Linked DNA regions of Macaca mulatta. The protein of the gene in region 5 interacts with the protein of the main gene of each other region in a pairwise test. Links are inferred from orthologs where the notes say so. Each region holds a gene or a part of one and is shown on either strand. Other genes may lie near its edges.

Evidence for each region.
Region 1: the proteins of NAPB (region 5) and STX6 interact in binary tests that used the Homo sapiens proteins (3 or more experiments, as listed by UniProt). The two-hybrid records come from large-scale screens. The link is inferred for Macaca mulatta from reciprocal best matches to the Homo sapiens genes NAPB and STX6.
Region 2: the proteins of NAPB (region 5) and STX4 interact in binary tests that used the Homo sapiens proteins (3 or more experiments, as listed by UniProt). The two-hybrid records come from large-scale screens. The link is inferred for Macaca mulatta from reciprocal best matches to the Homo sapiens genes NAPB and STX4.
Region 3: the proteins of NAPB (region 5) and STX16 interact in binary tests that used the Homo sapiens proteins (3 or more experiments, as listed by UniProt). The two-hybrid records come from large-scale screens. The link is inferred for Macaca mulatta from reciprocal best matches to the Homo sapiens genes NAPB and STX16.
Region 4: the proteins of NAPB (region 5) and STX5 interact in binary tests that used the Homo sapiens proteins (3 or more experiments, as listed by UniProt). The two-hybrid records come from large-scale screens. The link is inferred for Macaca mulatta from reciprocal best matches to the Homo sapiens genes NAPB and STX5.

Annotation. Positions count from the first base shown.
Region 1 is NC_133406.1:38,395,020-38,400,643, reverse strand, and holds part of STX6 (syntaxin-6), read left to right. Parts: intron 1-897; coding exon 898-1,004; intron 1,005-4,446; coding exon 4,447-4,541; intron 4,542-5,624. UniProt on the Homo sapiens protein: SNARE promoting movement of transport vesicles to target membranes. Targets endosomes to the trans-Golgi network, and may therefore function in retrograde trafficking.
Region 2 is NC_133425.1:29,669,840-29,675,901, reverse strand, and holds the start of STX4 (syntaxin-4), read right to left. Parts: upstream 4,064-6,062; 5' UTR 3,795-4,063; coding exon 3,765-3,794; intron 3,588-3,764; coding exon 3,486-3,587; intron 3,397-3,485; coding exon of another isoform or gene 3,375-3,396; coding exon 3,275-3,374; intron 3,139-3,274; coding exon 3,064-3,138; intron 2,628-3,063; coding exon 2,557-2,627; intron 1-2,556. Other genes in the region: uncharacterized protein LOC144337996, read left to right, coding at 4,069-4,225, 4,335-4,454. UniProt on the Homo sapiens protein: Plasma membrane t-SNARE that mediates docking of transport vesicles. Necessary for the translocation of SLC2A4 from intracellular vesicles to the plasma membrane.
Region 3 is NC_133415.1:111,442,246-111,448,485, reverse strand, and holds the start of STX16 (syntaxin-16), read right to left. Parts: upstream 4,077-6,240; 5' UTR 3,340-4,076; coding exon 3,259-3,339; coding exon of another isoform or gene 3,196-3,258; exon of another isoform or gene 3,128-3,195; intron 1-3,127. UniProt on the Homo sapiens protein: SNARE involved in vesicular transport from the late endosomes to the trans-Golgi network.
Region 4 is NC_133419.1:11,221,497-11,227,780, forward strand, and holds the start of STX5 (syntaxin-5), read left to right. Parts: upstream 1-2,865; 5' UTR 2,866-2,998; intron 2,999-3,445; exon of another isoform or gene 3,446-3,594; intron 3,595-3,690; 5' UTR 3,691-3,709; coding exon 3,710-3,934; intron 3,935-4,427; exon of another isoform or gene 4,428-4,527; coding exon of another isoform or gene 4,528-4,590; intron 4,591-6,284. Other genes in the region: WDR74 (WD repeat-containing protein 74), read left to right, coding at 380-480, 576-631, 967-1,112, 1,229-1,285, 1,752-1,931; TEX54 (testis-expressed protein 54), read left to right, coding at 2,074-2,580. UniProt on the Homo sapiens protein: Mediates endoplasmic reticulum to Golgi transport.
Region 5 is NC_133415.1:60,651,762-60,657,131, forward strand, and holds part of NAPB (beta-soluble NSF attachment protein), read left to right. Parts: intron 1-130; coding exon 131-235; intron 236-1,520; coding exon 1,521-1,589; intron 1,590-1,960; coding exon 1,961-2,011; intron 2,012-3,977; coding exon 3,978-4,088; 3' UTR 4,089-5,370. UniProt on the Homo sapiens protein: Required for vesicular transport between the endoplasmic reticulum and the Golgi apparatus.

The DNA.
Region 1 (5,624 bases), on a different chromosome or scaffold from region 5:
CTAGAATTACAGGTGTGAGCTACTGCGCCTGGCCTCTTGGTTGGTTTTGTTATATGTAAAGTTGACTGCTTTTGTGTAGATTAAGGGGTAGGAGGAAAATGAAGTTGATTATGTCTGGTGTTGCCTTTGATATGTAGCTATATTAATAAAAGGAAGTTAGTGATAATGTGGGGATTTGATGAGCATATACCCATTGAAACTATTGATTCTTAAATATTGTGTTTTATGTATACATGTAGTTTATATGTTCTTTTGTTCTTTACATTAGTATGTCTGCTTAACCAGTTGTTTACTTAAATTGCTATTAAACACAGGAAAATTTTTTTCTGTAGAAAGTGAGGAGAATGCAACACAACTAAAAGTAAATATTTGTCAGTCAGAAGTTGTCCTTGAGGTAACTTATTGCCACAGGGCGTCCTTTAGTTTGTCCTTGAAGAGGGAGGAGAGACTGTGTGCATAGTTCCCCACATCCAGAGATTTGCCAGACTCTCTTGTATTTAAGCTGTGGCAGTCTGTTGTGGATTGAGACCTTGATCTTGGCAATGGGCTTCCTCCTCCCAAACATCCCCACGTCTCAGTGGTCATCTGCACGTGTGCTTTCAGCCATTGTCTGCTCCATTATTGGACGTCAGCCAACCAGAGTAAATCTCTCTTGGTGGTTTCAAGCCCCGCTGACTGTTCACAAGTTGGATCAGCAGGAGATATCAGTAGCTTGACAATCCAGCCTTTTGAGCAGTGTGTTCTCAGAGGCAACGGTCTGGTCCTTTGATTTCTGGGCTTTGCTTCTGAATGTGAATTGTCCCAAGTTGGCAAAGAAACTAGCAGCTGCTAGATTGCTGGGCTTGGAACCAGGTAAGATGGATTTTAATTGCTTATTTCCCATTTCTCTGGCACCAGTTGATCGTGGAACAGCAGGATGAGCAGTTGGAGCTGGTCTCTGGCAGCATCGGGGTGCTGAAGAACATGTCCCAGCGCATCGGAGGGGAGCTGGAGGAACAGGCAGTGTGAGTATTGAGACACCCCTCTCGCTGCAGTGAAATTCAGGGGCAAAGCCATCCTACGAGACCCCTAAAAAGCCTGGCAGCTACGTGGCTGGTAAGATCAAAAGCTGTTTTATTCGTAGCTGCATTTTTATTCTGTTTTGCAGACTAGCCTCCCCAAAAGAAGCAAATCTGCTCTGTAAATTTTACTACAGGCTTTAGGCAAAGTTGTTGTTATTTTTAAACACCTCCAAAAACAGACACAGATTTCTCTGAGCAGATACTCGAAGTACAGTTATGAATGGGAATGTGAAGCAGAGAAGCCTCTGTAACCTGTGGGGATTTTTGAGCTGACTTTATCATCCTATGACTCTCCCGCTACATTGAGCAAACACTCTGCTTTGCATCTTAAATTATTGTAACTTTGGTTTTTGTTGTTGTTGTTGTTTTTAAAACTTACAGATTTAACACCAGTTAACAAAAACTCTTTCCTCTCAAAAAAATAAAAACAAAACATAACCTCAGTTTGTTTTTCCTTATGAACAGTCCCTTTTGCGCTCAGAAGTTTGATGGCAAAAACTGCATTCTTAAATGCTGCCACAGGATACCTTTATCATTTTACAAGTCTTTTTAAAGAGAAAAATAATAAAACAGTCCGCTAGGATATTTCAGAAACTCTCCTGTCTTGATATTACGTTTATCATGACACATTGATTCATTATAAATTCTTAATGGGCCCCTGTTCTACACCAGGCCTTCTGGAAGCCAAGGGATGTAGAAGGGAACAGAGCAGACAAGACAGCCCATCTCTGCCAAAGAGTTTGCCACTTGCTGGGTAGAACAGACATTGTGTGAGTGGTGAGGGGTCATTAGATGATGGCAGTGACGTGGGAGGGCCCCTGTGATGGGGACAGTGCATGCTGCCTGGAGAGCCCTGACTTAGCCCAAGGTTTCTGAGGAAGAGGGGTTTAACTGAAGTCTGAAGGATGTGTGGATGTTAGCCAGGCGAGGTGAGCGTTGGTGTGGAGGCAGGTGGTGTGGGGAGCGTAGACAAGGAGGAAGAAAGTGCGCCTGTGAAGATGGAGAGGTGCACACATGCATGGAACAGGGAGGTTCCATGTGTCTGGAGGCAGAGAACAAACCAGGGAAGGTCTTGTCAGCATGGTCAGGAGGTACCACTACTTATTCTGAGCATGATGAGAGACCAGTGGAGGTGAGGTTAGGAGTGATGGTGTGATCAGGTGTGATTTAGATGATGTGCTGCAGTGGAGCCAGGTAGGGAGACCAGGCAGGAAGCTGGAGTAGCCAGAATCTGTTTCATGTCTATCTAAAATGGGTCCTGACCCTAAAGTTCAGTTTGAGGAGGGGAAGGGACTAATGGCCTGAGCTTCTCTGTTGATGAAGCAGCCTGGCGGGGCAGTGGGTAATAGAGTCTGCGGGACTTCCGGTTAAAGATGGTGAATTGACACACCCCTACCTCCACTCCCTATCCACAGCTCACTAGAAAAGTAGTAAAGGGGTTTGTTTTAAGGGCATGGTGGTTCACACCTGTAGTCCCAAGTACTAGGGAAGGAGGCTGAGGTGGGAGAATTGCTTGAGCCCAGGTGTTTGAGGCTGCAGTGAGCTATGATGGCACCTCCAGGTTGTACTCCAACCTGGGTGATAGAGGAGACCCTGTCTCTAAAAAGGTAGAAATAACAGATAACTGGGAAAAAGCGTGGGATTTGGACTTAGACCTGTGCTATCTAGTATAATAGCTACTAGCCACATGTGGCTAGCTGTTAAGTAAGTTTTATGTGGCCAGTCTGAATTGAGATGTGCTCCAGAGATAAAATGCTTACTGGATTTTGAAGACTTAGTATGGAAAAATATAAAATAGCTTATTAATAATTTTTATATTACATGTTGAAATGATAGTATTTTGACTGTATTAGGCTAAATACAACAGAATTAATTTCACCTGTTTCTTTTGAAATTTTTAAAAATGTGGCTACTAGAAAATGTAAAATGGCATATGTGATTCATATTTTTGTTGGATGGTACTGAGATAGATTTGGGCCAGCAGCTTGGTTGGTGAGTGTCCATGGACTGAAGGTGGGGTGATGTGCCTGTTTTGTCTTCAGTATGAAAAGTCACACCCAGCGCAGAAAGGTAGTTCTTGCTTTTCAGAGTTTGACCCTGTCTGGATAGGCCTGCCAACTGCAGCACCAAGATGCTGCCAGGATCTAAAATGAGCTAAATATGTTTTAATTTGAAAATTTAGGTAAGGGACAAAGACTTGTTTTAGTTGTCAATATGGAGTTCATGTAATAGTTGATTTAATAAAGAGTTGGTTGCCCTGAATCCTGCAAGACTGTCAGATGTCTAGTTGGGCACAGATCAAGACCAGCAGTTTCTAACTGCCATTGATGCTGTCAGAGTTAATATAGCCTTTTTAGTAAGACTGTTAGTACTAATTGGTATATTACATTCTAGCCTCAGAATAATCATTTACTAATCAAAAGTTGCAAAGTCTGGAATATTTAGTGACTTATGAAATAGGCACTGCTGAAATCGTATTTTGGGGTTTTCTTTCCCAGCTGCGCATTGGACAGCAAATAGTGTAAGCCTGCTGGAGTCAGTTTTCCTACTGGGAAATACTGGTTTCTCTGTGAGGACAGATGGGGAGATGTGCATGTGCGTGCACACACACACACTCACACACCCCATCAGGGATGTTAGTGCCGTGGTCTTCTGGGTTTATAATAAAGCACATAGTGCTTTACAGGAGATTATTTTATCAAAGTACATTCCTTAACTCATATTGACATAAAGTGCTTTTGTGTATTACCTGCTTCTCACAAGAGTCGTGTGAGGGAAGTTGGGCTGATAGGATTGCCCTGTTTTACAGGTGAGGAAACAGTCCCAAAGAGCTGTAGGGTACGTTGTCCAAGGTAGCGGTGTAAACAAGTGGCAAAGCCTGGCTGTCTGCCTCAGATAGCATTGTTTCTACCACATTGCGCTGCCACTGAGTTTGTGTTATTGTATAGACAGGTCCACACTGCCTTGTCTGCAGTTCTGAAATCTAGAAAGCTCTAAAATCTCCTTTCGTTTTTTTTTTTTTTCTCTTTAAATTTACAGCAAGCTCATGTTACAGAAGAACCTCACCTGAACTGACTCCAACTCTGACTCCTCATAGTTTTTTCTGCAGAAATATTAAGTATCTGATTACGGGGACTGCCCCAGACCCTCCTGGCGGTATTGACTAATGCAAAGCATATGTAATTTAGGCTTTTTTTAAATCCCGAGAATTCCAAAATCAAAATCCTATCTTGTCCCAAGGATTTTGGATAATAGAGTGAGGTCCTGAAACCCACCGTTGCCTATTTTGTTTGCTAAAATGGAGGCCTAGTCCTGTTAACCCAGCGCACGTGCACTGCCAAGGCTTCGTGCTTACCAGCGACCTTCTGTGTCTGCTTCTCTCTAGTATGTTGGAAGATTTCTCTCACGAATTGGAGAGCACTCAGTCCCGGCTGGACAATGTGATGAAGAAACTTGCAAAAGTATCTCATATGACCAGTGGTATGTATGGTGTTTAAAGCTTAAGTATTTGTACTTAATTCTAGAACTCTGTCTTGGGGGCGTTGTCTCATAGTTATGCCCATCCAGATCCCTTTCTTATTTTTTTACAGATCCCTTTCTCTTTTTTTTTTTTTTTGAGACAGAGTCTCACTCTTTCACCCAGGCTGGAGTGCAGTGGTGCCATCTCAGCTCACTGCAACCTCCACCGCCTCCTGGGTTCAAGCAATTCTGATGCCTTGACCTCCCGAGTAGCTAGGATTACAGTTGCATGCCACCATGCCCAGCTAATTTTTGTATTTTTAGTAGAGACGGGGTTTCACCGTGTTGGCTAGGCTAGTCTCGAACTCTTGACCTCAGGTGATCCGCCTGCGTCAGCCTCCCAAAATGCCGAGATTACAGGCGTGAGCCACCGTGCCTGGCTGATCCCTTTCTTATGGCACTTTTTTTTTTTTTTTTTTGTGATGCCTTAGAATCAGAGAATGGAAGACTTGTATGTTCAGTCTTTATCTGCTGCTTGTAGCCTTAACTCGGGAGAAGGTCTTTGCGCTCCCCCACGGTGTTTGGTTTGGTTTTTTCCCAGTAGAGTAACTTTCTTTTTTTCTTTTTTTTTTTTGAGATGCAGTCTCACTCTGTTGCCCAGGCTGGAGTGCAGTGACGTAATCTTAGCTCACTGCAAGCTCCACCTCCCAGGTTCACACCATTCTTCTGCCTCAGCCTCCCGAGTAGCTGGGACTACAGGTGCCTGCTACCACGCCTGGCTAATTTTTTGTATTTTTAGTAGAGATGGGGTTTCACTGTGTTAGCCAGGATGGTCTCGATCTCCTGACCTTGTGATCCACCTGCCTCGGCCTCCCAAAGTGCTGGGATTACAGGCGTGAGCCACCGCGCACGGCCCAGTAGAGTAACTTTGTTTGCAATTACAAAATCCTTCTTTATTTTACTGTTTTAAGATTTCCTTGCCAAAATAGGGAACTTATTTAAAACAACAGTTAAGTCAGTTACTGTTTCTCCTGGACATTCTTTCATTGATAGAAAGACACCTACTACTTCAGAATAAGATGGCATGTGTGGATCTATTTTAAA
Region 2 (6,062 bases), on a different chromosome or scaffold from region 5:
CACAACCTTGGCCTCCTGGGTTCAAGCGATTCTCTTGCCTCAGCCTCCCAAGTAGCTGGGACTACAGATGAACATCACCATGCATGGTTAATTTTTATATTTTTAGTAGAGATGGGGTTTCACCATGTTGGCCAGGATGGTCTCAATCTCTTGACCTCAGGTGATCCACCCACCTCAGCCTCCCAAAGTGCTGGGATTACAAGTGTGAGCCACTGCACCTGGCCTATTTTTATTTTTAATAGAGACAGGGTTGACCCGCACGGTGGCTCATGCTTGTAATCTCAGCACTTTGGGAGGCTGAGGTAGGCAGATCACCTGAGGTCGGAGTTCAAGACCAGCCTGGCCAACATGGTGAAACCCCATCTCTACTAAAAATACAAAAATTAACTGGGTGCAGTGGTGGGTGCCTGTAGTCCCAGCTACTTGGGAGGCTGAAGCAGGAGAATGGCTTGAACTCAGGAGGCGGAGGCTGCAGTGAGCAGAGATGGCACCACTGCACTCCAGCCTGGGTGACAGAGTGAGACCTTGTCTCAAAAAAAAAAAAACAGAGAGAGATGGGGTCTCGCAATGTTGCCCAGGCTGGTCTCAAACGCCTGGGCTCAACCAATCCTCCCACCTCAGCCTCCAAAGTGCTGGGATCACAGGTGTGAGCCAAGGTGCACGGCCAGCCCTCTCTGATCTTGCTTCCTCTTACTGTTCCCTCCCTCTGCCCATCCACATTGGTCTCCTTACAGCCCTCCCTAGACAAAGCACACTCTCAGCTTAAACCTTTGCATTCACTTCTCATTCTACCTAGAATGCCCATTCCCCGCAAACACCTTTAAGTCTTTTGTTCAGATGTCACCTTCTGAATGAAGCTTCCTCCACTTGCTTTCAACTGCAACGCTACCCTCCTCCAGCATGCTCAGTCCCTCTTCCGCTGCTCTTTTTTCCTTAATGCTTATTATGTTCTAAATAATTCACTTATTTATTATGGTGATTGTCTACACCAGAAGGGAAGTTCCATGAGGATAGGGATCATTGATTCACTGCTGTACCCTAAACAGTTCCAAAAAGGTCTGGCACACAGTAGGCACCCAATATGTAACTGCTGAATGCTTGCTGAATGCCAACCTTGCTGCCTACACCACAGTTCCTATGCCTAGAGATGAACATGCTGCCTGGGCGAAACAGGTGCAACAGGCCCACATGGGCCCTCGACCACTCATGCCAATCACCACCAGAGGCTTCCCCAGAAACACTGGCTCTGGGGCATCTGCTCTGCCTTGCCCCTTCTCCTGAGACCTTAAATATGCTCATTCCTTGGAGTTCCTTTTCCAGAGATACATCTGCTCTCCTGGTTCCAGCTGCACCCTTCCAAGATGCCCAAGCTGTTTCATCTTCAATCTGGGGTCTTTGCTGAGCCCTGGGCTCAACTACTCCAACCCTGACCTCTTGGTATCCTCCTCACTGGGGACACAAAGAGGGCCAGTCAGATCACTGCAAATCTCCTTACTAAGATATCACCCCAGGGGCCGTGCACGGTGGCTCATGCCTGTAATCATAGCACTTTGGGAGGCCAAAGCAGGTGGATCACTTGAGGACTTGAGGTCAGGAGTTCAAGACCAGCCTGGCCAACATGGTGAAACCTCATTTCTACCAAAAATATAAAAAACTAGCCAGGTGTGGTGGTGTACACCTGTAATCCCAGCTACTTGTGAGGCTGAGGGAGGATTATCGCTTGAAGGAGGTGGAGGTTGCAGTCAGCCAAGACTGTGCCACTGTACTCCAGCCTGGGCGACAGAGAGAGACTCCATCTCAAAAAAATAATAATAATTTTTAAAAAAAAGATATTACACCAGGGGAGTTCCTCTTCAGTGTCGCCCCAGGGAAGTTCCACTTCCTGACTTCTTGAATTCCACCTGTGGGACTAAGGATGTCCCTGTCACACAGATAGCAAACCTGCCAGTCAATTTGTGACTTCTCACTCTCCTTCCCTGGGCAGCGCCATTAGCCACCAGATCCCACGTGAGTAATGTCTTTATCCCCTATTGAACCCTAACTCCTCATGTTGACTCCTAGAAAACACGTGTCCCAGCTGGGCGCAGTGGCTCACGCCTGTAATTCCAGCACTTTGGGAGGCCAAGGCAGGAGGGTCACCTGAGGTCAGGAGTTCGAGACCAGCCTGGCCAACATGGGGAAACCCCGTCTCTACTAAAAATACAAAAATTAACTCGGCATGGTGGTGTCCGCCTGTAATCCCAGCTATTCAGGAGGCTGAGGCAAAAAGAAAAGAAAACGTGTCCCACAGTCAAGCCTAGGTCTTGTCTGGGGTCAATAAGTAACTTCTTATTGAATGGAAGAAAATAAAGCAGGGTGTTATAACCGGACTGAGCATCAGGAGACCTGGTTTCCTGACCTTGAGCAAGTTCTTTCTCTCTCTGAGCTCAGGTTCCCCACTTGGAAAAATCATCCAATTGGACTCCATGACATCTACAGGCCCTTCCTTCATACATCTGTCATCTAATACTTCATGAAACATTTGCTGAAATGTCATTTCTGAGAAAAAAAACCCACCTGGGTTTTTCTCATTCTTGTGTTGATGGAGTTATAGTTCTCATCAGCTTCCTCCTTCTGGGGCTCTATGGCTGTGGGAAGACACAGGGGTATTGGGGGTACTTGTCTCCATAGGATTTTTAGGGAAATATAATTTATCATAAAATGACTAAGGCTGAGCCTCCAAGAGGAGAAAGTAAGTTTATTTTTCTTTGCATTACATCACTTGAGTTCCCGTAGGAATGCAGAGGCCACCTAACAAAACCCCATCTCCCTGCCCAAAGAATGCCCAGTGGGCAGTGATAACTGTGTAAGTAAATGGTTTCATTGTAAATAAAAGAACCTGAGAGACTGCCTTGTGCTGTGGAGAGTACAATGGCCTGGAGGCCAGAAGACAGAGATGCTAGAACCAGGCCTGCTGTGTGACCTGGATATATCACTGGCTTCTCTGGGCCACACACTCCCCAGATATACCAACAACAGGGCAGGATCAGAGGGAAGGATCTGCCTGAGGTCCCAGTAGCTCACCCTTCAGCTGCAGGCGGATCTCCCTCCCCAGCTGTTTGATCTCGTCGCGCAGGTTCTGCAGCTCCTGCTTCATGCCTGAATAAGAGAAGGCCACGACTCCCAAACAGCAGCCCCCACCTCAACAAACCACCCTGGCCACCACCTGCGTGGAACTACAACCCCCACAATCCCTGGGGCGGAGCATGCGCTATGCAGCCGGGGTTTCACTCACTCTCCTCAGGAAGGGGCGTGGCCAGGATGGTGACCTGCTGTTTCTCCAACTCCTGGACTTTATTCCCCAGCTTGACAATAGTCTGCCGAATTGTCCGGACCTGGGGAGGGTGACCGAGAGGGCTGAAAGAGATATGGGGTACTCCAGACCACGCTGCTCCTCGGGTCCTCCTACCCCCTCGCGAATCCAGGCCAAGACTCCATCCCCTTACCTTCTGGAAGAACTCCTCGTCCGGGCTCCCCAGCCGTGCCGTGCCCGGGTGCACCACCAGCGCGACTCGCTCCTTGTCCTCTTCGTCCGAGCTGTCATCCCCCTGCCAGGCCCGGAGTCATTGGCACCACTGTTTCGCTGCGGCTGTCACCCCGCAGGACCCACAGGCTTCCGGGACTTTCCTTCCTGGCCATCAGCCACCCCTCCCTACCCCGAAGACCAGGAGTCCTGCGTTCCAGTTCGTCCGCGCGCCCCCATCCCCGCTGCCCTGGCGTCTCACCTGCCTCAGCTCGTGGGTCCTGTCCCGCATGGCGGCCTGAGCTCTCCCTCCCCGGCGTCAGACCGGGAGGCCGGCAAACTTGGAATACCCGTACCCCACTCACACTCTGACACTCCCCTCCCTCCCCCTGTGGACCCCAACACCCCCACGAGCCACCAGAGCCTCCGTCCCTTGCACCGCCCACAGTCAATGGGAAGGCGCCGACCCCGGGGACCCCCCAAGGTTCCACAGGTTGGAATTCCCTTTTCTTCCCCCCTCCAGCTCCCGCAGCCTCAGCCCCGCCCCTCCGTGATAAATTCGGGGCATGCGCATATGGTCGCGTCTCTTCCTCGCCCGAGGCGCGGAAGGTGGAGTCGGAAGTTGTTGCGCCCCGAGCGGAAGCGGAGCTGCGTGGACGCGAGAACTGGCTACCGTCACCGGAACCGTTGCATCTTCCAACGGAAATCTGGTTGCCAAAAGGGGTAGGAATACGTCATTTGTACGTAATCTGAGGCACCCGCATCTCACATCACCCCATGGTGCCCCCACCGCGTCACGTGACCAACCCGGTCCCAAACTCGTGGACCGCAGAATGTGACGCTGTGACTGTCACGTGTCCCGGCTCGGTCAGCGCCGTCTCTGGGACGCTGTTTTCATCACGACGTCCCCGGCACTCCGACCACCGAACGACGCCCACACGGCCCCCGCGAGGTGGGGAGGGGCGCGCCCACCACTCCCAGAGGCCTTTCGAGGCAGTGGGTGGTAGGACCCTTGCTGACTTCGCCTTTATTGCTTTCGGGTCCAGGGGCGTGGGCGGACTGACGACTTAGCATTTGGGGCTGTCAGCATCATGGGACCTTGAAAATCGGGAAATAATAGGATCCGAGTCGTCAGCGTCAGAAAATTGCAGGGTTGTGTGGGCAGGGAATCTAGGGGTGGAAATTGACCTCAGCCAAGGCAGAAACCTCTTCTTCCGCATCCTCCTGGCGCAGCCTCTGACAGGTGGGCAGCCAGCCGGCGCCCTCCTTGAACACTACAGCCCGGCTTCACTCACCACCTTGTGGGCTGTCAGACCATGTCAGGGCAGCTCAGGCTAAGAAAAGTGTCTCTGCACGCTGCCTTCCCTGCCACTCACACCCCCCAGACCCTGCCTTGCATCTGAGGCAGGTAATGACTTTGTTCTTAACTGAATCTGGGGAGTTCCTAGCTCAGTACCAAGCACATTACGGGCCCTCTATAAATACTTGTGGACAGAATCTTAGCCTTTCATGTATCTGAGGATGAAGACCCTGGTTCCTTGGCCTTCTTTAGGCTTCAGTCTTTCTGACTGTGACACTTCTCTAATCCTGGCTATCGAGATATTCACTCATTTTTTATTTTTAAAAATTTTTACAAGATGGGGTCTCACTATGTTGTCCAAGCTGGTCTCTAACTCCTGGGCTCAAGCAATCCTCCTGCCTCAGCCTCCCAAACTGCTGGGATTACAGGCATGCACCACCATGCACAGAACATTCATTTAATGGATATTTTTGGGCACATACTATGGGCCAAACACTGTTCTAGGGCTGGAGATACATCAAGGACTAATAGATAAAAATTCCTGCACTCGTGGAACTTAAATTCTCTAGAAGGAGTCCCCAAGGTCATTTAGTAAGTCTCAGCATAGCTGGGAATGAATAACGGGTCTCCTGGACCCCAGGGCTCTGTCCAGGAAGCTTCTGTGAAGGTACAAGCAAGGAAAGGAATGGACCCTTTCTGCTATGCCCTGGTCAGGAAACCTAGATTCCTGGGACTGGGTTGCTATGGACTTCTGGAAGTTGCTTCCTGTCTCTTAAGTGTCGATCTCCCTCTGCACAGTGGGTAACTTGGGGGGATGGGGAGATCATCTTTATGGGTATGGGCTGCTCTAAACTTCAGTGATGATGAGGTTGGAAACTGTCAAGTGCTGTCTGATTCTATGTGAGGATTTTTGGCTCTTCTCTTCCTGTTAAAACCCAGCTCTAGCAGGGTGCGGTGGCCTATGCCTGCAATCCCAGCACTTTGGGAGGCAGAGGCAGGCAGATCACCTGAGGCCAGGAGTTGGAGACCAGCCTGGCCAACATGGCGAAACCCCATCTCTACAAACGTACAAAAATTAGCCAGGCATGATGGCAGGTGCCTGTAATCTCAGCTACTTGGGAGGTTCAGACAGGAGGATTGCTTGAACCCGGGAGGCGGAGGTTGCAGTGAGCTGAGATCACGCCATTGCACTCCAGCCTAGGCGACAGAGTAAGACTCCATCTCAAAAAAACAAAACAAAACAAAACACAAAACCCAGCT
Region 3 (6,240 bases), about 51 Mb from region 5:
CATGGCTAAAGCCATGACATGGCTAAAGGTGTGCTTTGCTTTGAGGTGTAAGAGATATACTACTCTGCAATTAATTTCTGCAGCTTTTTCCTGAAATAAAGATGTCAAAATTCAGGGTTATAATTTTTTTTTTTAAGTCTGTTATTTTAGGTGTATTTTTAGTTGGTATCAAATGCATCAAGATCAAAGTCTACAGCTTTTTCTTCTAATTAGAAACTTAAAAAATTCCAGGTTATTATTTTTTAAATTAAGTTAAACTCAGGTTTAGTTTCTTCCTTTCAAATTGCCTGAGTGTTAGATATATATTTACAAATTGTCTCTTTTTAACTGTTCTACTTTACTATAACGAATATACTTATTTTAAGTTTCTATTTAAAAATTTTCAAACATGTAGAAAAGCCTACAAAATTACGTAAAATGTCCCCCACATACTCATCACTAGACTCAACAATGAGTAACAATTTGCCTTATTTGCTTCCTCTGTTTTTGGAGGGGTTTAAGGATTTAGGTAAGACACCTTGACATTTCACCACTAAACATTTTAGTAGGCATCTCTAGTAAAATTAGCAAATGTAGTGTATTATAATTAATTTAATTAATTCTTTAATGTCACCTAATACCTAGTCCATATTCAAAATTTGACAGATATGGTATTGTTTGGTTTGCTACATGGCTTTGAAATTTACAAATCAGAAACAAGGCTTTAAATTTTTTATGAGCTAGATATGCAGTGAAAAGCATTGCTAAGAGTTACTCAATACAGTTTTTACAAATTGTGTTAGACGTGGCTTTTGCTTCAAAACGTTTATAAAGCTTTTCCAACTTCCAGATAAGCTGAAAAAAATCATAACCTCTATGTGGTCTTGTTAGCATTTCGCCGTATTGTGTGCAGAAATAGATTTTGTAAGATCACCTGTAAGCAAAGTGAAGACGTAACACTTCAACCCTAAATACTTCAGAAATTTATGACATGCCATTTTTTTAAACACAACTAAAATATATAAATCTGTGTTTTCTTTTAAAATTTTAATTCAGGAAAACTATGTTTGTTAGAATGCAAAACCTATTTTTTAAACAGTATGAATTGACTATAAGGATATTTTAAATGATATGGCTGCTTTCAATGATCTGAGAAAGATTTTAAATGGTCAGACTAATACAAATATTAACATTTTCAATGGCATGACATTTAGAAAACACTTTTTAATGTTCTGACTTAGAAATATATTTTTAGTTGGGTTTAGAAATCATTTTCAAAAAACTGTGAGTTAGGTAAATATATCTGTATATATCCTGACGTATCTATTTTTCCAAACTGTATACTTTAGCTATCCATTTTTAGTTCTTTTGCTTAGCTTAAATATTTTTTTTAAATTGCCTAACTTAGAAAATAATTTTCTAAAGTGGTTTGATTCAGAGAAGGACTTTTAAAAAGCTTCCTGTCTCAGATACTAAGTTTTTAAACCATCTGACTAAATGGGGGAAAAAAAAAACCCTCATGTTACCCAAAGGTTCAGGGTATTTTGAACCTTAATGATTAAAAATTGAAAAATAAACAATATGTTTTTCAATCAATTAAAACTGATACCTTAGAAATCTTAATATCAGTTTCAGTTGTTTTTGAGGCAGCACAAAAATCAAGTCATTTAAGGAACATGTAGTTCTTATTTAACATTACTGAAGTACCATTAAGGAATTGTATTCATCCAATTGCTACTCAATTTCTTGGCTTATTTTTTTCTTCAAAATTAGCGCTAGAATTAGCCCGTTTCTATGCTACCAGACATCTTTATATTTATTTCAATATAATGTCATTCCTTTCAGTTTATAAATGTAAAACCCTTCAACTTCTTAACTGAAATCTCACACACACTCTGTCCCTGTTTCTAGGCTTTTTGACCTGAGTTTACATGCTTTTATTCCTGAAACCGCTCATATGGCTTAAAATCACTTTTCTATCAGTTATATGGCCAAAGACATTCTCCACTTGTGACTTACAAAAAGGAGAAACTGTCTTTGTAGACATGATAATCATGACATATGGCAAAATTTTTCTGAAACATTTAGATAAAGTCACAAAGAAAAAAATGAACTGGCAATACAGTCCCTAGGAGGTGAAATAAATGCGGGGTTTCCAAAATTGCCTATCAAGTATAATCCCCAAGAATGTGGTCCTGGGATGGCTATAACCCGCCTGTTCCAACGCTGCTTCTATTCCAACCTAGCCTCCCTACAGCAGGTAGCCTGAACTACAGCCAATTTCATAACTTCACTTTTCAATTGAAGACATTACCGAGCTAACGATCACTGTCTGGTATAGATCATCTAGACTCGCCCCTTATTTAACAGAGCAGTAAACTGAGGCTCAGAAAGGGAAAAGTAGCCCCCATTAAAAACAAACCAGAAACAGTAATTTTTCCAGGACCACCCTTAAAAAACACTACTGCTAGGCTAACTAAAGGTTCTGGCTAATTTAAAAAAAAAAAAAAAAATGTTATTTTAGAGGGTTAATTTTCACATATACCTCCTCAGGCTTTTTTAAAAAGTTCGAATGGAGAGGAAAGCGTAATTTCCCGTCTGGGAAATGGAAAGTGAAGAGGCTAGCACCTCGAGTCTTAGAAACCCAAGCCCCCAGGAAGAACAGTGAAACAATTATTCATAGGGAACAAGGCCACACAAGGGCTGCGGGACCGTTAAAACGGGCAGAAAAACAAAACAAAACAAAACAACAACACAACTGCTTCCTCTTTAGGAGAGGGAGTCGTTCATTTGCAAGGATTTGGGTCCATGGTCCCGCGACCCAGCCATTAGGACCGAACTGAGGCTCACTATTGGGGGGAGGGGAGCTTCAAACAAAACGAAACAAAAAGGCTTCAGAAAGGCCCAATGCTTCCCAATGTTAGCGTTAAAACATATGTAAATTACAGGCGGCCTGTAGCGCAGTGACGCCAAGGCGGGGGATGCGCGGGGGGGGTGCTGCGGAAGTGAGGAGAAGACAAGGCAGAGGTGGAGCTGCGGCCTCACAGCACCGCTTTTTCCCCATCCAGGGTTACAGATGCCCCCTGATTCTAGCCAAGAGATCTTATTATCCTTAGTCTTATTATTCTTATCTTCTTTTATTAAACAGAGAGACAGACAGAGACAGACAAACAGGCAGAGCCGCAGTGCACACGGTCCGTGTGTCGGAGAGGCCGCCGGGAGACTCACCGCAGCAATGCTACGTGAATGCAGAGGGCTGGAGGTGGTGTGACTACTCACTTGCTCGGCTAACAGCTGCCGGTTTTGGATGGAATTATTCCGCAACAACAAGAAAGCGTCGGTTAAACGCCTGGTGGCCATGTCTCACCCTTTGTGACCCCCCTCTCAGGGGCCCCCCGCCCACTTATATTCCTGGTTTATTCACTTTCTTTCTCTTGACCCGGCCGGCCCACCCTTTCACAGAAGCTTCTCGACAAGGCCTCAGGCTTCAAGCCAAAAAGACGCAGCTGTGCCCTTCGCCAAAGCGTAGAGACCCCTCCCCAAATAACTACCTAGGCTTTCCAATTGTCTGACTCCCCCTACCCAGGACCGACTTCGATCTCTAAGCACTTGAATCCCCCCAATCCTTGCGTAGCGATCCAACGTTCCAGAGACCCCACCCCAATCCAACCTTGGATCTACAAGCGTCTAACTCGCCAATCCAGCTCTGGACTGGGAGGCCCTGAAGCCCCCTACTCCCTGAGACCCCCAAAGGTCTTTGCTCTCTACCCCTAACTTGGCTCGTAAGCGTCTAGGCCGTGCCCTGAGGTCTGGCTGTGACTCAGTTTCCCCACCAGAGGCCTGGCCTAGGCCCTCTTTGGACAACCGGAGCCAGGCCTGAGGCCTGGACTCCAGGGCGCCTGCAGCTCCCTTCTGGGGCCTTGTCTGAGCCTGCTGAGGCCCTGCCCGACCTCCTGACCCCTTCCTTTCCTGGGTGGCCTGGTCCTCCACTGCCAGCAGGCTGCTGGCCTGCAGGAGGACAGCAGGGCCTGCCTCCCCGGCCTTCTCACTCCTCTTCTCCGGCTCCCTCCATCCCCGGATCTGACTGCAGCTCAGCCCCGGGCCGTTTCCGTACTGTGGTCCCGGGTTCTGGCGTCCCCCCTGGCCCTCTTCCTGTCCGTCCCTCGCGAGTGCCCCCCTGCGACTCTCGCAAGCCTTGCTTGCAACGTTCCGGGCGCGGGAGCTCCCTGCACTCCTGCCCCGGGGCACGAGAGTGCTCCGCCCTCTCCCGGGGTGCTCCTGGGGCGCCCCGTTTCGCCTTCCCCAACTGGGTCTAGGCACTAGGAGCAGGCCAGCGAGCAGGCCCGAGCCTGGGGAGCGTGACCCCCAGGCTGCAAACCGCTGCCAGGGCCCTTGGTCCCTGCATTAGAGTGGAAGTTGCGCGGCAGGCAAATTTGGGCTCCCCGAGAGCCGAAGTTTTGGGCGCGGGGAGTTGGAGCGGGAGAGGAAAAGTTGGAGACGACTGCCTCTGCAGGCCGAGCACGCTCTACTGCAGGCGCTGGCGCTCGCTTTTTTTTTTTTTTTTTTTTTTTTTTTTTTTTTCCCACTCTGAAAAAAGATGTACCCGACAAACAACCAGGAGGAAAAAAAAGGAAAAAAAAAAAAAAAAAAAAAAAAGCGAAAGCTCCAGGCAGTCTGGCCGCGCAGCCGCCGGCAGTCGGGGGTCGTTGGGGGCGCCCGCCCTCCCCAGCTGCCGCTTTCTGTAGGTGGCACTACAGGGTCGTGGAATCTCAAGTGGAAAAGTTCCCCGAAAACTTTGACACCTCCTGCCCCCGTCCCCGCGAAAAATATCTCTGTTCCCCGCCTGGGCCCTGGCCCGGAGCACCCCGCGCCCCTGGCGTCCCGGGCCCGGTTTCTCGCCGTTGGCCAGGCCCGGGGCGCCCTAAGCACCCCGGCTTGCCGTCCCGGGCCAAGTCGGCGGGGTTCGTGCAGGGGCTCCTCGGGGCCGCGTCGGGCAGCAGCTGCCCGGGCCCGAGCACGGCGCCCAGAAACAGGCGGGCGCCCAGTGACGGAGGCTCTGGTCTGGCCCGGAGCCGCCCGGGAAGCCTGAGGCCAAGGGCCTGGCCCAGCGCTCGGCGGGAGCGGGTCGAGGGCGCAGAGCTGTGCTGCTGCGCCTTCCGGGCCCCCGGTCTGTCTAGGGCCGGCTTCCCCTTGCCGGGCGAGGGTGCGGGCCGGACTCCGGAGTGGGGTTCCAACAAAACACCTAGGCCCCAGAAGCGGCCCCCACGCGTCCTTTGTTTCTGCGTGGAACAAACTTTACACACGTGTGTTTTCCGAGGGTTTCCCGTGTGCTGAGCGCTTGCAAAGCGGAGTCGCGCCCGGGGAGACGCGAAGCCGGTGCCCGCGGCTCACCCAGGGACCCCGGCCGGACAGCGGCACCCGCGGGGCGCGTGCGGGACCCCCAGACGACCGGGGAAAACGCCGGTAACCGCCCCCCGCCGTGCTTTTTCTCTCACGGAGAACGTTCCCGCGCGTTCGTTGTGGAACTAAAAATTAATGTCAAACATATCCATTGAGGCAAATAACAAAATGCATACAACGAAACCCACATAAAATCGAGAGAGCCGCGAGCGGGGCTGGGCGAGTTCACTGTGAGAACCCGCCAGCTTCCGCTCTGCGCGGAGAGCAGGGCACTCGCCCGGGGACGCTTCGCTGCGGTGGAAGATTCGGGCGACAGGGGACCGGGTCGCCTCGCGGGCCGGGTTGGGGGCTGCAGGGGCGCGCTGACAGGCCATCCAAAGACAGAGGCCCTGGGGAGGGAAATTCGGGGAGCCTGTGTGCTTAGCGCGGTGCCCCAGGAAATATTTGCCCAATAAGGGAGAGTTCTGTCCTCACCCGCGGCAGATCCCCCCGCGAGCTCTGACCCCAGCAGCACGGCCAAGCCTCCCCCCTCGCCCCTTTAGGGGACAGTTATTTGTAAATAACAACTGAGCTGGTTGTCGGTAGGAGAATCAGATTAGAAACATGGTCCCCACTCTGTTCCTATCTCCCCAGCACTCATCACCTCGCAAAGCAGGGGGTCTTGTTTACTTTTCCTGGCGTTCTCCCCCAGGCTAGAACGTGATCTTCCTACGCAGGGACTGTGTTTTATTCATCTTTGTACCCACTGCCGTCTCATCTGGCTCGGAACAGGCTCCGGATAAATATTTTTTAAATATGTGCATGAATGAATGAGAGACCTGAGATTTAGTCCCCAAACTCTCTGACCTCCCTCGAGTGGCT
Region 4 (6,284 bases), on a different chromosome or scaffold from region 5:
TTGCTCAAAACACATATGAGGGCATCCTCTTTCCTCCTTCATTCAGGCTAACCTCTGCTTGAAATTTAGCACCCACTGACTACTAGACTGACTTGCTTTTCCATCCCTCCATTTCCCCTAGATGGGAGTATGGGAGGATGGAATGCTCACACACTTCCAACCTAGGGGACCTCTCCCCTCAGCTCTGTCCATTTATGCTGCTAAGCAGCTCTTCTGACACCCTGATGCTCAGAGAAGAGGCATACATCTAAGATGAGAAAGTTTCTGACAGTGGATCATAAATAAGAGAGCAGTGTGCAGGGAGCGGGTGAGGATGCAGAGATGCCAGAGGGTAGGTGCAGGGTGAGGATACTTTCGTGATGCTTCAGCCTTCCTCTAGGTTCGTGTCTATGATCCAGCATCCCCCCAGCGCCGGCCAGTCCTAGAGACCACCTATGGAGAGTACCCACTGACAGCCATGACCCTCACTCCGGGAGGCAAGTGAGTGTTTAGAGGGGAACGGGTGGGAGGGTGGGGCTTGGGAAGGGCTCCAGGAGGTTCCTGCTGACTCCGCTTGCCTCTGGTCTCATCCTCAGCTCAGTGATTGTGGGAAACACTCATGGGCAGCTGGCAGAAATTGACCTTCGGCAAGGTGAGTGGACTAGGGTATGTTGGGGGGAAAGGAAGGAGCAGGGAGAAGGGTAAGGATTCCCTCTAAGGCGGTGCAGTGGGGCCAGTGAGGCCTCATTCAGGTGCCAGATTGCCTGGGTTCAAATCCTGGTTTCCTCAAAAGCTGTATGACCTTAAACTATTTCAACTCCCTGTGCCGTAATTTCCTCACCTGCGAAATGGAAATATTAGTAGAAGCTCCAGTCTCAGGGTTTTGTTGCAGATTAAATGTTGAAATGGAAAGTGATTGGAACAGGAAACAATGAATGGTTGGTTATTGGCCAGCCAGTTATCACGGATGCTTCCCCCCTTCTCTAGGGCGTCTACTGGGCTGTCTGAAGGGGCTGGCAGGCAGTGTCCGTGGGTTGCAGTGCCACCCTTCAAAGCCTCTACTAGCTTCCTGTGGCTTGGACAGAGTCTTGAGGATACACAGGATCCAGAATCCACGGGGTCTGGAGCATAAGGTAAGTCGTCTCTCCCACCCCAAACTCATGGTCTTGTGGAGGCTCCGCCTCCTTTGTCCCCTTTCATGTTTCTGTCTCAGCATGCCTAGCTCCTTAAGGTCCTTCATCTTTTGCAGGTTTATCTCAAGTCTCAATTGAACTGCCTCCTCCTGTCAGGCAGGGACAACTGGGAGGTGAGCAGTTGGGTCTGGGAATGTGGGAGCTAAGGGCATAGATGTGAGGATCTCCCTATGAAGAGGAAAAGGAGGCAGCTGGAATGCAGACCTGGGACTATCTGTTTACCTGCCTGGTCACTTAATTTCTCTGAGAGGCATTAACAGTTAAAATCCTGAGGGTTATTGCCAAGAGCATGGATGGGGTTGCTTTCTGGGAGCAGGGAATAAAGGTGGTGATACCCAGAGGGATTATTTCTCAGCCAGGGTCTCCTTCCCTGTGGGTTTGTCCCTGTGCCCCTGACTACTTTTTCTTTTTTTTTTAACTTCTTTTTGTGGAGATGGGGTCTCCTATGTTGCCCAGTCTGGTCGCTAAGTCCTGGGCTCAAGCAATCCTCCTGCCTTGGTCTCCCAAAGTGCTGAGATTACAGGTGGGAGCTACCATGCCCAGTCCCCCTGACTCCTACACTTTCTTCCCACTCACCAGGATGAGCCCCAAGAGCCTCAAGAACCCAACAAGGTGCCCCTAGAAGACACAGAGACAGACGAACTTTGGGCATCCTTGGAGGCAGCTGCCAAGCGGAAGCTCTCGGATTTGGAGCAGACCCAAGGAGCTCTCCAAACCAGACGGAGAAAGAAGAAGCGGCCTGGGTCCACCAGCCCCTGACGCCCCTGACGCCCCTGTGCCTGCCCACTTTGTAAATAAACAGCTGAACATCCACCATGACCCTGAGCCTTTTGTGATGGGAGAAAGGAATGAGGGGTAGCTTGGGGTGGGGGCTCCCTGAGCTGGGGCGACGGGATATCTGATGTCACAAAAGCCGGGCCTGGAGGCAGGTAGGCTGGCGTGGGTGGCAGGGAGTCCGGGGCCCCGCGGGGCCATGGGCTGCTGCCAAGACAAGGACTTTGAGATGTCGGATGAGCAGTCCAAGGAGGCAGAGTCTGAGGCCGTCAGGGAAGATGGGACCAGAGGCACACACAGAGGGCCCAGGGAGTGTGAGAAGGGGCTTCCCGAGGGTAGGGGTGAGCTCAGAGGCCTCGTCGCCTCAGGCGCCGAAGGTATCGACTTGAACTCCCCGGACCATCGGAATCATAAGTCGAACGAAAGCCTTCTGATCACCGTGCTGTGGCGGCGACTATCCATGTTCAGTCGTCGGGGCTCCTCGCGGTCAAGCAAGAGACAATCAGACCAGATTAGGTCATCAATGTTCAGTGGTCGGGACTCCTTGCCGTCAAGCAAGAGGCAATCAGATCAGACTCGGAAACAGGAGCGTCCGATCCGAGAAGGCAACCAGGAGGAGCCGGAGAAGGGATGACCCCAGACCTGCTCTTAGTCCGCCCCAACCTCCAGAGAATAAAATTTCTAACGTGTACCTGCACCACCACTCTGGGAAACGGGCGCGGACACCGCCGGGCAGCTGGTTCTTTAAGGCTCCTCCCCGGAGGCGGGCCCAGCCCCCTGGGCTCCCGCTGTAGTACTCAGGGGCGGGGTCACGGCAGCGCCTTAGCCAATGGGAGGGGGGTCGCTCTTGCGTTTGGATGTGGGGCGTGTCTTTCGGGTCGCCTGGCTTGAAAATGCGTGGGACCGCCCCCTCGTCACCGGGGGTGGGGTTACGTGTAGGTGACGTGGCCGCTTCCAGTCTGGTCGGGTTTCGGCGGCCTCAGTGCCCAGGGAGGAGGCAGTGACGGCCGGGGAGATTGGTAGTGGCGGCGGCGACAGGCAGCAGAGGGGAGGTAAGACTTGCTCTAAGAGGGGGTCTGGCCACCGTGTCAGCTCTGGGGCAGTGGTTTTACAGGGGCGACGACTGGCAGGGGGAAGGGAACCAGGGGCAAGCAGGCAAGTCCTGCCGGCCCGGCTCCTGGTGAGCGAATTCCTTGCCGTCCAATCAGGAAAGCCTCTGTTGAGAGAGACGTCGGCATTAGCTAATGAGTGGTTGAAGTCTTCCAGAAGGCGGACCTTGGGCGGGGGGTGGGACTTCCTGTTTCAAATAAACACCCAGAGGTTTCCCCCTCCGCCCACCGAAGTGTGTCAGTCTTTGGAGGTCCGTCACCGGCCCCCCCCCGAGGGGCCGAAGGAAACCACGGAAACGAAGGGACTGGGTTAGGGCCCGGGGCAGTTACACGGGCCAGGCCGCAGTCTGAGGGCCACGGGACTTGGCTCTGGCCCTGTCTCTGCTTCAGGGCCCCCGGCCCGCGCTCTGGCCGCCGGAGCCAAGTTGGAAGAAGAGTCTGAAGCGGGTTCGACTTGGGACAGGGGAAAAGCAGAGCCCTTTCCGCTGCTGGCCCGCCCCAGGATCTGCGAGCGTCTTGGGCGCGAAAGTCCATGAGAAGTGCGGAAGGGGCTCGAGGATTTGTTGATTGGGGTGGGGCGGGGGAGTTTGGGGAAAGAAGCTGCCTGGGGAATGACACTCTCCCCTCCACAACAGTCCGAGGTTATGCGTCTCAATGATCCCGCGGAAACGCTACGGGTCTAAGAACACGGATCAGGGTGTCTACCTGGGTCTCTCAAAGACACAGGTCCTGTCCCCTGCACCTGCTGGCAGTAGCAGCAGCGACATCGCCCCTCTGCCCCCCCCAGTGGCCCTCGTCCCTCCCCCTCCCGACACCATGTCCTGCCGGGATCGGACCCAGGAGTTTCTGTCTGCCTGCAAGTCGCTGCAGACCCGTCAGGTAAGGACCTGGAGTGGAAAAGGCGAGGAGTGAGCCATACTCAAATCTAGGAAGGACTGTGCTCCACCACTGTTAACTGAAGTAATTCTTGGGGGTACCTGATGGAACTGATAGGCTTGGATGGGGCCAGTAGGGTCTGCTGTAAGCAACAGAGAAGAGGTCGGCTGGCTAACTAGAGGCAAGGACTTAGACCTTTTTTTAGGAGGAATCCCTTGGAGGGCAGGAGTGCTATTCTGGAGGGAGTACTTCAGAGAGTACTTGGCTGTAATATAATTGGTGTGAATAAGGAACAAGTTCTAGGAAGAGCCTTTAGCTGAGAAACACGCACCTTGAATTTTCCAATATATTTCTACCATAAATTTGCTCTGTAACCATGAGAAAATTAATCTAGTTACATCTTAGTTTTTATCTCTGTAACATTAAGGACATTTTCTAGATCAGTAATTTGTTGTTTTTGTTTTGTTTTGAGATCTGTTTTCAACTCTGTCAACAGGCTGGAGTGTAGTGGCGTGATGATAGCTCACTGCAGTCTTGAACTCTTAGACTCAAGGGATCCTCTTTCCACAGCCACCTGAGCAGCTGGGACTACATGGATGCACCACCCAGCTAATTTTAAAATTTTTTTCGTACAGGCAGTGTCTCACTATGTTGCCCAGGTTGGTCTGGACACAAACACCTGGCCCTAGACCAGTAATTTGTATCAAAATAACTTAGGGTTGGATGTGGTGGCTCGTACCTGTAATTCCAGCACTTTGGGAGGCCTAGGCCACAGGATCGCTTGAGGCCAGGAGTTAGAGACCAGCAGGGGCAATGAAGAAAGACCCTGTCTCTACAAGAAAAGAAAAAAAAAGCTGGACGTGGTAGCATGTGCCTGTAGTCCCACCTACTTAGAAGGCTGAGCGAGGCCCAGTCTCTTTCTCTTTTTTTTTTTTTTTATTTTAAGAAGGAATTTCACTCTTGTCGCCTAGACTGGAGTGCAGTGGTGCAATCTCAGCTCACTGCAACCGTCTCTTCCCGGGTTCAAGCGATTCTCCTGCCTCAGCTTCTGGAGTAGCTGGGATTACAGGTGCCCGTCACCGTGCCCGGCTAATTTTTGTATTTTTTTTTTAGTAGAGATGGGGTTTCACCATGTTGGTGGGGCCGATCTTGAACTCTTGACCTCAGGTGATCTGCCTTCCTCAGCCTCCCAAAGTGCTGGGATTACAGGCATAAGCCACTGCGCCCAGCCTCTCTCTCCTTTTTTGGAAACAGGGTCTCACTCTGTCACCAAAGCTGGAGTGCAGTGGTTCTATCTCGGCTCACTGCAACATCTGCCCTCCTGGGCTCAAGCAGCCCTCCTGCCTCCAGCTTCTCAGTAGCTGAGATTGTAGGCATGTGCTACCATGTCTGCCTAATTTTTGTTTTGTTAGTAGAGACGGGGTTTTACCATGTTGCCCAGACTGGTCTCGAACTTCTGTGCTCAAGTGATCCACCTTCTTCATCTTCTCAAAGTGCTGGGATTACAGGTGTCAGCCACTGCACTCAGCTCCTCTTAAAAAAAAAAAATTGGGAGTGCTTTCTAATTATTTATTTATTTAATTAATTAATTTTTTTTTTTTTTTTTGAGACGGAGTCTCGCTCTGTCGCCCAAGCTGGAGTGCAGTGGCCGGATCTCAGCTCACTGCAAGCTCCGCCGCCCGAGTTTACACCATTCTCCTGCCTCAGCCTCCCGAGTAGCTGGGACTACAGGCGCCTGCCAGCTCGCTCGGCTAGTTTTTTTGTATTTTTTAGTAGAGACGGGGTTTCACCGTGTTAGCCAGGATGGTCTTGATCTCCTGACCTCGTGATCCGCCCGTCTCGGCCTCCCAAAGTGCTGGGATTACAGGCTTGAGCCACCGCGCCCGGCCAATTAATTATTTTTGAGATGGGAGTTTCACTCTTGTCGCCCAGGCTGAAGTGCAATGGCGTGATCTCAGCTCACTGCAACCTCCGCCTCCTGGGTTCAAGTGTTTCTCCTGCCTCAGCCTCCCAAGTAGCTGGGATTACAAACATGTGACACCATGCCCGGCTAATTTTGTATTTTTAGTAGAGACGGGGTTTCTCCATGTTGGTTAGGCTAGTCTCAAATTCTCGACCTCAAGTGATCTGCCCGCCTCAGCCTCCCAAAGTGCTGGGGTTACAAGCACCTGAGTAAGTATTTTTTTGTTTGTTTGTTCATTTGTTTTTGAGACGGAGTCTCGTTTTGTTGCCAGGCTGGAGTGCAGTGACATGATCTGGGTTCACTTCAGCCTCCGCCTCCGCGTTCAAGCGATTCTCCTGCCTCAGCCTCCCGATTAGCTGGGACTACAGGCGTGCGCCACCACACCCAGCT
Region 5 (5,370 bases):
AAAATAATGTATTTCATAGCTAAACTAACATAAGATCAATAATTATTTTCTAAAGGACAACAGATGAGGATGACTTTGCCTGATATAAAAGGGTAAACCTTTTAAATTTAGTTCTGCGTTCTGTGCCTAGGTTGGGGCAAACACCATGGATAATCCTTTGTTGAAGTACAGTGCAAAGGATTACTTCTTCAAAGCTGCCCTCTGCCACTTCATAGTAGACGAGTTGAATGCCAAGGTAAGGAGTCCTTCAGCACTGATTGACTGATTTCATCCTTAAGAACACGTACACATTCTCTCTTGTTCTTGGAGTCGTTTCATTGCGATGTTAGTACCAAGAATAAACTGGGTACATTAAAAATAATAGGTATTTTTCTGTGGTATGTGTCCCAGTTGTAATCTTTTAACAGCTGTCAAAGCTGTTCTCAAAAGTTCCCTGATAGTTTATAGCCATACCACCCTGAACACACCCAATCTCGTCTGATCTCGGAAGCTAAGCAGTGTAGAGCCTGGTACTTGAATGGGGGGCACTGCCTGGGAATACTTAGTGCTATAGGCTTAAATATATGTCTATATTCACTGGTAGCCACAGTTTTGTTTTTGTTTTTGTTTTTTAGTAGTTTTGCTTTAAAGAAATTACAGGGCCGGGCGTGGTGACTCACGTCTGTAAACCCTGCATTTTGGGAGGCCAAGTGGGGTGGATCACCTGAGGTCAGGAGTTCGAGACCAGTCTGGCCAACATGGTGAAACCCTGTTTCTACTAAAAATACAAAAATAATTAGCCAGGTGTGGTGGCAGGTGTCTCTAAGAGCTACTTGAGAGGCTGAGGCAGGAGAATCACTTGAACCTGGGAGGCAGAGGTTGCAGTGAGCTGAGATCGCGCCTCTGCACTCTAGCCTAGGTGACAGAGTAAGACTCTGTCTAAAAAAAAAAAAAAGAAATAAGGAACTAAGGGGGAGGAGGAGACGATAAGAGTAGGATAATATCCATTTAAAAAACAACCAAAAAAACAGGCAAGCTCAGAAACGGTGTTGGAGTGAGGACTGGGAAGCAATTGGAAAGCACAGTGAGCACTGGGAGCCAAGAGGCAAAAAGGCAGGCAGCCTTGACGTGGCCGGTGTCTGGAGTGGAAAGAGCAGAATTAAAGCCACTAAGAGAATGTTCTTTCTGTCAGCTTTGAGCAGGAAGCTAAATGTAATTTATTTGGAATCTGTACTGTATTAAGAGCTTCTCCATTTAATGGATGGCACAGATACCTGGTCTGTGAGTGTTTACGAATTCATTTTCATTTACACTGTCTTCTCGGCAGCAGCATGACTCAGAAAAAAATGGTTTAGAAATTATTCTTAATTGAAATGGAAAATTCAGAATAGACAGATTGTCTATGTTGATTCTGCTGTTGAGTTTAACTGCATACTTCTTCAACACTTAATAGGATATAGGTAGATCTTATTTGAAGCTGGTAAAATGTCGAAAGCTTTGTTTAGTAAGTCTGAAATTGATGAGTGGTTTTTCTCTCTCAGCTTGCTCTTGAGAAATATGAGGAAATGTTTCCAGCGTTTACTGATTCAAGAGAATGTAAATTATTGAAAGTAAGTAATACTAGAACTTTGAAGAAAAATGCTTTTGTTCTGTCAGGTGACAACACCTAAGTGGGGTTGGGTATGAAGTGAAGTTTTAATCTATAAAGTCTGCTAACTGAGGGGCCCTGGTACTTTCCTGCTTTAGCATTATAGGTGTTCAAATGCAATTAAGGTCAGAAACATGTAGTTGTATTCTGAAATAGGCACCTCAGAAATGTTAGTACAAAAACTAGATCCCTAACTTGAATCTTGACTTGTATTTGAGTATTTCCGCAATTGTGTGCAATATTTGGCAACATTGGTGTTATACTTAAAGTATATATTTAGAAATGGGACTTCATCTTACGGAACTATTTTTTAAAATATTTTTGTGCTACCAGAAACTCCTAGAAGCTCATGAAGAACAAAACAGTGAAGCTTACACTGAAGCAGTAAGTTATGCTTTTGGGACATGTTACATTATTTGAAGATTTAAGTTAAACTTCTTTTCCTTTTCATTATGTAAAATCTAAACATTTATTTGAACATGACTCCAGCATACCTTGAGTTGTATTTTCCAAAGGTCATCTTTTATATATCACACAAATTAAACAGTTCTATTAGCCATGCTGAGATTTGACTTATATTCAAAAGTAATTTAGCTGTAAGACTAGTTCAGGAGCAAATATTCCATTTATATTCTTATAATTTGCTCTTTTAATTTTTTCTTTTGAAAATAATCTGACCCATAAATAAGTGTAAAGTAAAATTAGTTAAGGCCAGGCACAGCATCTCAGACCTGTAATCCTAGCACTTTGGGATGCCAAGGCAGGCAGATCATGAGTCAGGAAATCGAGACCATCCTGGCCAGCATGGTGAAACCCCATCTCTGCCAAAAATACAAAAATTAGCCGGGCGTGCTGGCACATGCCTGTAGTCCCAGCTACTCAGGAGGCTGAGGCAGAAGAATCACTTGAACCTGGGAGGCGGAGGTTGCAGTGAGCTGAGATTGCGCCACTGCACTCCAGCCTGGTGACAGAGTGAGACTCTGTCTCAAAAAAAAAAAAAAAAAAAAAAAAAAAAAAAAAAAAATTTACATTAAATATAATTTAAAATATTAAAACTAAGTAGTGAGAATTTGCTGTATTCGTGGCATGAAAAAAATGGAAGGTGGCCAGGCATGGTGGCTCACGTCTATAATCCTAGCACTTTGGGAGGCCGAGGCGGGTGGATCACCTGAGCTCAGGAGTTTGAGACCAGCCTGGCCAACATGGTGAAACTCCATCTCTATTAAAAATACAAAAATTAGCTAGGCATGGTGGAGTGTGCCTGTAATCCCAGCTACTTAGGAGGCTGAGGCAGGAGCCTCAGAACCTAGTGGGCAGAGGTTGCGGTGAGTCAAGATCACGCCGTTGCATTCCAACCTGGGCAACAAGAGTGAAACTCCATCTCAAAAATAAATAAATAAGTAAAAAATAAAAAAATATATATTTTTAAAATGAGGGTTTTTTCCTTTATAATTTTTGTTTTTCCATCTTTTGCCATGTCATGTTTAGAATTAAGCAAAAAAAAATTTTTTTAATATATTTTGAAACAGAGCCTCACTCTGTCACTCAGGCTGGAGTGCAGTGATGTGATCATGGCTCACTGCAGCCTCAACCTCCTGAGTTCAGGTGATCCTCCCACCTCAGACTCCTGAGTAGCTGGGACTATAGGTACACACCACCACACCCACCTAATTTGTGTGTGTGTGTGTGTGTGTGTGTTTGAGACAAGTTTTCACCATGTTGCCTAGGCTGGTCTCTTAACTCCTGGGCGTAAGCTATCCACATGCCTTGGCCTCCCAAAGTTGAAGGATCACACCCAACCTCAAGCAAATTTCTCAGTAGCCTCCTGTAACATGTTCATCACAACTCAGGAGTGATGGTGGAAAGGAATGTTTTCCTGTTGAACTTTTGCCTGCCACATCATTTTCATCCTATTGTAATTTTTTTCTTTGATAATGCATTGAAATGTGTTAAAGGAATTCCGCTTCCATACATATTCTAACTCTGCAATTAATGTTTTCCCATGTTCAGTGAGTAATTTTCCATATTACTTTCACATTTTTATGCAATGTCCAGTTTCTTTTGCCACAATAATTATGACTGTTAATGAATTTTCTTTTTACACATGTTTGAAAACAGAGAAATGTCAAGCCCAGGAACTAGTCACTAGTATCATCAAAATAGTAACAGGATAATGAAACAATAAACAGTTTTTTAGTGAAGAAAGTTATAAACCGGAATTATTAATTTCAAATAACAAAGAAAGTTAGTAGATTATAGCTGTAAATGTATAAACAGCTTGGGGTACTATTATTTTGTGTTTTTAACGTATTTACATGGGGTAATTCCTGCTCCTCTTTCTTTATACTAGGTGAAGGAATTTGACTCAATATCTCGTTTGGATCAGTGGCTGACCACCATGTTACTTCGCATCAAAAAGTCCATCCAAGGGGATGGAGAAGGAGATGGAGACCTAAAATGAAATGTTTTTGTCTTTGTGGCATGCAGCTAACTCCTGTTTAGTTTTGTCTTAGGGTCAAGTGATCTTTATGGGATGCCCATTTAATGGCTTAATTTTGTTGCATATGAGCCAGACAGCCTGGGTATTGTTTAAGCTCCCCGAGTCTGTGTTGCTGTGAAATGGATGAAGGGGAGGCTCCTGTTCATCTTGTGGTAATGATGGGTTGTTTCATGCTTATCAGAACCCCCAGCGTTTTCTGAGAAGTACTTCAGAATCTCATTCCTCATATTTCATTGGTATTTGTGGAGCCTATGTTTAATGTTGCCATGTGTTTTTATGTCCTTTTTGTTAGACTTGAGTACTCAGCCCAGTTGTTCTCATAGATGCTTTGCATTTTCTCTGTGCTTTGGCATCTGGATATGTTCTTTAAATGTGTGTTTAGTTTAGGACAGTTACTAGGAATGAGTTTATAACTTTATTAGAAATCACTTCTATTTTTGTTATCCTGTGATTATTTTGATGGTGCTAGTGACTAGTTTCTTTGCTTTTTGTGTTGTTCCGTGTGCTAACATGTGCATGGCAAAAATTTAGAATAGCCAGGGTCTGTAGGCATCACATTGTGAGGAAAGGAGCTTTCTGGAAGTACTTGCTTCATGTATGGATGAGTGTCAAAGTGAATTTGATTTGTACTTAGACACACACACACACACACACACACACACACACACACCACAAGATCTATTAGAAATGGAATTTTTCTCTTTTTCTGGAGATAGTTTTCACTTCTAGTTGGAGTGGAAATCCCTTTATATTTGCATTAAAGTATTTTAATTGGCACAGCCTGCTCGTTATTTTCATGTTTATACACTTTCCCACATTGAGGTGGTGTGTTCTGTGCTATGGCTATAGAAATCTTGGTCAGGGCTGGATAGATTATCTAAGTCAAGCTTGAGAATGAATGTATGTAATTTTCCTGTTTATTGCACATGATGGGTTAGGTGGGGTAAATGTGGTACAGGTATGTACTGTATGCCCAAGTGGGCAAGAACCCCAACTTGTTTCTCAGGGGACTTGATTGTTCTCTTAGCTGGTGGAATATTTTGGCTTATGTGTTTGAACTCTGTCATGTTTAATTGGTTTATATATGTATGCTATCTTGATTCATGAACTTGATTCTATTATTTTATATGCTGATATTTAGACATACTCTTGTCTCCTGAATGTCCTCTGCATATTTTATAGTTAAATGATTTATATTTGAAATGTGTTTGTTGCCATACTTAACCCAGCAGACACTCTGACA